Drosophila melanogaster: one gene and its partner. The protein of the gene in region 1 interacts with the protein of each later gene in a pairwise test. Each region holds a gene or a part of one and is shown on either strand. Other genes may lie near its edges. The genes, in order: CG43689 and c-cup.

Evidence for each region.
Region 2: the proteins of CG43689 (region 1) and c-cup interact in a two-hybrid assay, tested with the Drosophila melanogaster proteins (one large-scale study listed by BioGRID).

What each region holds. Positions count from the first base shown.
Region 1 is NC_004354.4:4,073,750-4,079,006, reverse strand, and holds the start of CG43689 (uncharacterized protein), read right to left. Parts: upstream 3,030-5,257; 5' UTR 2,581-3,029; intron 1,133-2,580; 5' UTR 1,092-1,132; coding exon 1-1,091.
Region 2 is NT_033779.5:1,831,082-1,834,727, reverse strand, and holds c-cup (calcutta cup), read left to right. Parts: upstream 1-2,162; 5' UTR 2,163-2,273; coding exon 2,274-2,304; intron 2,305-2,361; coding exon 2,362-2,936; 3' UTR 2,937-3,101; downstream 3,102-3,646.

The DNA of each region.
Region 1 (5,257 bases):
CCCACAACGCCTTCACGCGATGCTATGTCCTGCATAACAGATGCAGCCCGACTGCCGATGCCCGCCGGCTGGAGAATCGTGTACTGTTTGCCATCGGCCATCGGTTCCTTGGGCCGCTGCTTCTCGCCCAGCTGACTGGCAATATCGAAGGCGGTACTCAGTTGCTGATGCTGCTGTTGTTGGTGCTGCTGCTGCTGCTGTTGTTGTTGTTGACTAGCGGCGGCGGCAGCGGCATAGCCATAGTAAGCCAATCCGGCGGCAGATTCCGCTGCAGCGGCCGCATTATAGGCACTATAATGGGCATGAGCGGCGGCCACATAATTCCGTTTGATGATATCGATGGGCGGCTTAAAGGCCGAGGCCGCTTGCGTGTAAACGCCTTGTCCCGAGGCGGAAGATGAGGTATCTTCCAGTTCCGGATCCTGATCCTCATCGGGCGTCTTTTTGCCGCGCCCCTGTGCCTCCAGATGGACGACACCACCAGCACCGCTGGCTGCATTCAGGCGCGCCTGGTCGTTCTCTTTTTGTCTGTGGAAACGTGAGAAGAGTGTGGAATTGGGATTTGGTGAGCTGGCTTGTGCTTGTATGGCATGGCTGGGATTGCCAATGGCCTCATACTTTTGTTTCTCCTCGAACAGATTCTGGAAGGGCGGTGGATTCTCGTCCTGCTCCTGCAGCCGATACAAATTCCCCCTTGAGTCGGGCCAGCTGCCCGATAGGCTTTTCAGCGCCGCCTGTGTTTCGCGGATGAGTGTCTCATCGTCCTGATCCGCATCCGTGTTGCTTTTGGCCAGCGGAGTGGGCAGTGAACCGCATGTGGGGCTCTCCGGACTGTCTGCGATGTGGCCCTGGCCGCCTTGTTTGCGTTTCTTCTGCGGCAAATTGTTGTTGTTGCTATTGCTGTTGTTATTGTTGTTGTTGTTGTTGTTATTATTATTATTGTTGTTGTTGTTGATCAGGCTGGAGTCGTCGTCACGACTGCAACGTTTGCGCCGCTTGATGGATGTCTCGTGATCATTGCCATTGGTGTGGTTGCCATTGCTTTCGGACAACGGCGTGTCCTTTGTAAGGGGCCGCTTGGAAAGCGCCATTTTCCCGGTGGCTATTCCGTGTTTCCGGCTCTTTGGCTCCGCTGATCAGGTGAAAAGTCAAACGAAACGTAAGCAATATTGTGGTTGTTTTCTGTAGGCAGAAGTGGATGACGTTTGTGTGGATGCACCACCTTTGCAACATTATCATTTTTCAGCTTCAGCAACCGAAATCCACACTTATTTTACTCCAATATCACCAGACTTAACAAAATCGAAACCATTTTCAGTAAACAAGCTCTATAATAACAAAACTAATACCATCGCCAGTTTGTTTTCAACGGAAAGAATAAAGTGTTTTGATAAACAAATATCGTTAAACCAAAGTAATTTTTGTTTACAAGCCCACCTTTTAAATCATAATAAGCGTTAAGCGTTTTGCAACTAACATCTAAAATTTAGCAAAAACTACTAGTATTTTGTCAGTTGCTTAATGTTTTGTTGTCGTCATAAATTTGGTTTATTGCTAGAATCGTCTGCTTAATTGTGCTCAACTTAATGGTAACATAAAATAATAATCCATAAACTATTAATAATGTCTTTGGAAAACTTTTATACAAAATGGGCTAGTCTTATGATTTTAAAGAATATTACAAAATAATATTAAGCCGTAGAAGTTCGCGCTGCAAACATTCATTATTCTATGTCGCCTATAAAGCATGGGAATAAAATGATTTTTAGTTAGTGGGTGGGTACGTGACATAAGCAGCTTCCCATCTAAATGGTTAGGATAATATCGAGTCGAAACTCGAGATTTGCGCTAGATCAATTTTCAATTTTGTTAGTCATATTCTCAATGTGATTATTCTTGTTGCATTGAATTTCTTGTACTTGTATACTATTTGTTTTTGTTTTCCTGTTTGGTTATTATTCATTTGTTTAATTTCTCGTTCTGGTTGTTTTTTTTCTTTCTTTTTTCGTTTCGAAATTTATGCCTTCACAGGGGCAGGGGGGCGGGTCTGGGTGAGGATCAGCATGGTATATAGTGTACACAATATTTATGTATATATATATATTTATATATATTCCTATATATAATTATAGACTGTCAGTTATCAGTTCGATACGAAAATTTGCAAGTTCTATTGGGGATATTACAAGATTCAAATACTTATATATGAACTTTACCTATTTGGCGAATTCTGTTTCGATTTTGTTGTCTTAGCGATTACGATTGCGATTTACGATCGATATCGATTTCGATTTTGTTATTAATTTGCTTTGATTTAATTTAATTTATTTAAACACTCTGCACTTATTGGCTGACCATTCGGTTATGGCCTTTGTTTGTATCTTTTTGTTTGCTTTGCTGATAATGTGATGTGGCTGCTGGCTGATAGCGTTGCTGTTGCGATTTCTTGTTCCACACAAACACTATATGTTTTATGTATATTCTTATATAGGATATGTCTCACCAACACAAAAAACTAACGAAACTAAAACTGTTTAAACAGTAACAAAAATCAAACAAACAATCAAACACTTAACTCACTTTTTGTCAACGCGACGGCGGTGATGTGTCTACGAAAAATGTTTATTGTTTTGGTAAACTTAGGCCGGCTAACGTGGCGTATACTTGATGTCAATTAGATCACGCACTTTTTTCGCATTTGTTTTTTGGTTTTATACTCGTGGGCTTTTGTTTTGCATTGCACTGGGTTTGACTTTGTTTTTATTTCACTTATTTGTGAAGGGGGTTTTTGCGCGGCGGCTGGGAAGTTTTGCTTTTAGTTCGTTGGGCGCTGCGAACAAAAACTTTTGCACTTTTATGCCGCACTCTGGTAAAAGTTTGTGTCCGTCTTCAGAAAGTTTTTGGGATCTCCGGGGCCAGACCAATGGAATATACCCACTCTATATGGCAGCTGCAATAAAAGTCTGCGTCGCAGCGAGCGGCGGTGAAGTCCGGACGTCCAAAACCCGACTGCTCGATGCGTTTGGGGTAATAAAATTTTACATCGTCGCCGTTTCAGTCGCCGTCTTTCAGTCGCTGTCGACGTCGACGCACGTTTTCCGAGCGCCAAAACGGTACAAAAAAAAAAAAAAGCGTTCGGCTTTCCCAATACGGTGTGTCGTTGAGGTTTTGGGGCAATATATGTTCCTTTCTAGCCTGTTCCGTTTCTGTACCGATTTTCCAGGCGGAACGTGCGTCTCTACCTGTTCTAAGTTCGCTGCCAACTGACAGTTTTCCAAAGTTGTCGAACTTTCGAACGCACTGAAAATTGCAGTCGACGTCACAGTCGCCGTCGCAGTCGCCGTTTTCGGAGTAAAAACCCGAAGTGCCGATGTACTCATCCCCTGGCCAGCACTGTATGACAGTATAACAGTCTGACGAGTCGGCGCACTGGAGCTCGTCCTGTTCGCCGTCCACCCCCCCTGTTTTCCGAAAGGCCGATGGAAAAGTCGTGGCCGAAACGGGGCGGCTTTTTCGGAGGACTTCGAGGATATCCTCTCGGAGCAGCGACGTCGGCAGCAGCCCACAAATGACTTTATCCCGTCGACGACTCAAGTGCAGGGATTTGCTCCGTGGACGGCAGTCCGTCGTCCATCGCCCAGCTAAGATCGCTGAAGATTCGGATCCAGATGCCAGAATTCACCTGCATTGATTGCGATCCAGGCTAGCAAATCCATTAGCGCCATCTGACGCATTTGCCAGCAGGTGATTCAGGTCACATCCACATCCACATTCACATCCGCCTGCCGATCGCAACGAGAATCGGCGAATCCATCATGTGCCGCCGTCATCAATCCATCAATCACCACTGCAACCGAAAATTCACAGCTGGTTGGTTTAGTGCGCGAATGTGTGCCTTTTTTTTTGCAGTTCAGTGATTAAGATACTCCAAAGTCAACAAATAACATTAAGCAATGGGATATTGAATGGAGCTATGTTTAGGGATTGATTTTTTATTTCTAAGAGTTCATGTTACTTAGCTCAGCCAAGGCTATAATGATCGCAATAAAATGCATCTATCTAGAATTTAGATAGTTTATTCATTTGAAGTTGGCCAAAAAGTTATTTTTTGTTCTCAAATAAACGAAATATTTATTCAATATTTCGTTAGCAAAAGTCGTCTTGATGGGGATACAATTTCTTTATGAATAGTTTAGGCTCCACCAAGTTCAAGTTTCAAGTGGAGCAAGGTGACGTTGAGGGGAAGTTGGCATTTGGGAGCCGCCATTCGGGTTCTTTGAACCGGTCGCAGGAAAAAGGGTTTTCGGTGGCGCAAACGAAGATGCGGAAGCTGCTTGTGTGCGCTGGGTCGTAATTAAAATAATTAAATGTGGAAAAAAGTAATCACAAGATTGAAAAGTAATTTACACATGTAAGCAAACACCGTGCACACACTCACACACACTTACACACACAGTCAGCACACGCAGACATGTGCAGCTTAAACAAATACAGGCGCAAACAAAGCCCGCAGGATATTCGCAGAAGACGCCAGAAGACGGGTTCAAAGAAAGCAAAAAAGAAAAATAAGAAAATAGGAAAAAAACCCGCTGAAGAAGCGGAAAAAACAGTGCCACAAATTGCCTAGGCAAATGGAAAAGTCAACATTAAGACAAGACGAGTGCAGAGCACAAAGCTGATGGGAATCTGCAGCTTGGGATCAGGAAGGATGGATTCTATATATGTATGCCGCCAAGAAGGGGTTTCTTTTCGGAATGATGATGCTGGCGGTGGAGAGGGGTGGGGATTAGCAGCTCGGAACCCGTGCCTTGCGTAAACGCAAAAACGCAAATGATTTCTCTTATTTCCAAGCGGTCGCGGTTATTTTGTGGGCGGGATGGGCCAACCTTGGATGGGGAGGATTGCCATTCGTCTAAAATTGCGTTCCTGCGTGCTGCACTGTCCAAAATTACAGTACATATATTGGTAATTAACTAAGCTTGGCCAAATGAAATTGGGCAAAGAAATGTAATACTATTGGTTTTATTTTGTAGGGAATTCAATTTGCCCAAAGATTTTAAAGTCTTTCTTTCCACAGTATCCGACTCCGCTGAGTTGTGCCACAGGCCAAGTGTAGGCAAAATATGCAGAAAGGGGTGTGGCGTGGGCGGGAAAAGGGGGCGGAAGGCCGCGGCTCAGCGGCCACAGACGTTGGCGCAAATCTAAGGACAACAAAAATTAAGTGGCAACAAGAAAATAAGTCACTTTTTGCCCAGAC
Region 2 (3,646 bases), on another chromosome or scaffold:
CAGTTTTGTTGATTTTTATTCTCGTTATTCCCCTATTTTTCTGTACTTTTTCTATGCTTTTTCTGTACTTGTTCTGCACTTTTTATTTATGGTTAGTGCAGCAAAATATTTCAGCATCAGGCGTATAACCAAAGTGCCGAGTGTGAGGGCGGCATCGGGCCAAAAACTATGTGGGTGATTTTTATGGCTTTGCCTTGCCTCTCAGTTCAATGAATAAATCATTGGACGCCAAGGGGATTGGTTGGGACTTTGCAATATGGAGTGGGACTCTCTGGTAATGTTTGATAATATTTTATGGAAATATTTGTACTCGTTTTGGCTTTGAATAAATGTGTTGAGAGTCGTACATTTTAAAGAAGTTTGGTAATAATTGAATGTTTCAATACGACCGGAGCCAAATGAACAATTGTAAATGATTCAAGGAAACCCCTATTTAAGTTGTTTATGTCTGAACCCTTTATCGTTTCCCTCTTTTTCAAAGTCTATCCCATTAGCAGAAAATCCCAGAACCTTCGCAGGCCTGCAGCAAAGTAAACTAAGCAAATCTGCTGGCATTCTAATCCTTTTGAAATTTGCTTTAATTAACTCGAATAATAAGCAGCATCCGCATACTTTGTACTGCTCCTTCTGCCGGAGCCTTTTTATCCTGTTCGTGGGCTTATGAGCTTTGGCACTTTGTGGTTGAAATTTTGTGATTCCTTTTTTTTTTCTGGCATTCGGATTTCCGACATTTGCCAAAGCAAATTTCAGCGGAGCGGGACTAATAAGCCAAACAAGAGACAGTGGAAAGGGGGCGGGAGGAAAAGGGGCGCGGCTGGCAGACAAAGTTAATACGACACAGCTGCCCTCGCGGTTGGTGGGCAATTGAAAAGTTTATTAATAACCCGCAGAACGGCAGTGGCAGCCATACGAACTTTAAAGAGACTGCTGCTCTTTTTTATTTGTATGATTTTTATTTTTAATTAAAAGAAGGCAAGGCTGAGCGGTAGCGAGTGCGGTCCAAGGGATATGTAATTACATTTGAACAGCATGCGAAATATGTTTTAATTTATTAAATTAAAATAAGCGAAAAAGAGCTGGAATGAAGGAAAAATAACAAAAACACGACAACAGGCAAAGGAAGCAACCAGCCGCAAACCGAGTGCCCAAAGCAATTTGAACCAACGTCACACGCGGCGTATGCGTAATGTGCTCGCAACAAAATCAACGTTATGCAAATTTTAATGCGAGCATAAGGCGGAAACGAAACGGCGCTACGCTTGCCAGTTTCTCCTGAATCCTGTTACGAGAATCGCCAGGGTATTGCCAGGGCATGATGGTGCCACATATAGTAAGTCATTCAAGCTGACCACATGACAACACTTGGAAATGTCACTATAAGCATAATAAATAAATACTTAAAATATTGCCAACATTTCAGTGCACAGCGTAATTTATAAAGCAATAATGCCATATTTTATATAAACTACTATTGTGGGAGCTCAATTACCGTAAGAGCCACAACAAACCAATTTCAGCTTTCCGAGCAATTGAACAATCCGAGGGTATCGTTTAAATCCGACCCAAATCAGCGCAGGACTCCTTCGTCCTGGCAGTCGCCCTGCAGTTGTACTTGTATTTACATAAGCGTCCGTATGTATTTCTCCCAGAGCACTCGCCTGGCGCAAAATTACACTTTGTTGGCGAGACACACACACTCACATGCTCATACGCACACATCGTGGCGCAAAAAATTGTAATGAGCTTATTAAGTCATATTAAAGTCCAAGTACAGCCAATTTGATAAAAACAGCAACTGACAGCAGACTGGCAATGTTTTCATGCGACATTTTTTTACGATAGCATTTGGCATTAATGGTAATAGCAAATGGCGTAGACACACGCTGTAGCTATGTACGTTACACTCGAAGAAAATCAATATTTTAATGAGTAAGCAACCAAAAGGGTTGATGCACGTATAAATAGATGTTGAAGAAATATATAAATAATAACTTAATAACTTTGTCTTGCTAGAAATGAATAGTACTGAATTTCTTTAAGTGCATGTAATTTATATGACTGATGTAAATGAGCTCGGCAGCAGGTGGCTTAACATTTTTATTCGCTCCGCACTGCGGTAAATTGTTGTTAACTCGGCTTAATTGAGTATGATCAAATTGCCGCTGATTTTGCACTCGAATATATTTCGACTGAACTTTCAAAATTCATGAAATGCTGAGCACGAAAACAACTTAAACAGAGTCAATTATATAGTTTATGGAAAAGTCGTAAAAATGCCGATACTTGGACAAATGTTTCCTGCAAGTAAGTAATGTTATTAAGTAGTAGATAATTACGTAACGCACTCACTTCATCCTCTAGAGCTGGGTCCCAATTTGATGACAGCCTCCAAAGTGCTAAAAAGTCCTCTTGGCCAGGCGTTAGTCTCCTTTTTGGTTGGCTACTTTGTCACCACAAAGTTGTCGCAATTTTATGGCAAATTCAAGAGGGACTCTGAGAAATCCGATGAGTCGACGCAGTACTTGGACATGTACCCCAGGAAAGAGAGTCAGCCAAAGGACACCAAAGGACACGATATCGTTCTGCTCACTCTGGAGGAGCTAACTGCCTTCGATGGCTCGAGTCCCAGTCTACCCATTTACACCGCTCTGAATGGCCTCATATACGATCTGAGTCCGGGCCGAGAAAAGTTCAGCAGTCACGGTCCGTACTCCCTATTGGCCGGTTGCAATGCCAACAAGGTCCTGAACATTGCCTGCAGTTCCATGGGCGTCTGCGCTGCGAACGTAATAAGTCGCTGGGAGCAGAGCCTAAGAGCCGAATTTAAAGTCGTAGGATATTTAGTCGATGCTGATATAGATATTATTAGCGGTAGTCCAGTCAAACATACAAATTCGGCCATAGGGGAGCAAATGGAGAAGAGTGATATCGTTTAAGATGCTGTGAATATCCCGTTTTCTTAGCTTGGCAATAAAATATTATTCACAGAAACTAGTAATTTACTTCCAAGCTAACTGAAGGGGATATTCAGTGCAACCACGGACTAAAAATGCGTTTGGAAAAATTACATGTAACTTGTAGAATAAACAAAATTATTGAAGATATCTTTTAGCTTCATGAGCGAATATTTTCCAAAGGTTTTAGGTTGCCAAACAAATGATCGACTATTTCTTTTACAATCTCCTCCAGCCTGAGATTAAATTAATTCTGTCCTTCTTTTTTTTTGCCGTTTGACCGAGCTCTTGGCATTTGGAAAGCCGGAAAGTTTTTCCGCCTTTGTCTTGCGCTTTTTTCCCCAGCGGTTCGGTTCGACAGGAAAATATCGACAACGGCAAATGTCGATAACAACAAATTGTTTGTCGTGTTTTCCTTTTTACTTGGCACTTTTTGCCCATCAAGCTGTTGACTTTGTCAAGTTGTCGCCGAATTTTCAGGGCTTCGGGGTGATTCGGGTTTCCCATTGTGCCGGTGTATGTGTGTGGAAAAACTTTGCGCCAAACACGCAATTGACTTAAATTGAATTGAAAGCTGAATTCTGAGAGCTGAGAGCTGAAAGCCAAGAAGTGACAAAGCGGGCGGGAAAGCAGAAGGAATGCCGTCAGGTGCTACACAGCTAATAAAATCAAAATTACTTTTCGCCAGCGCA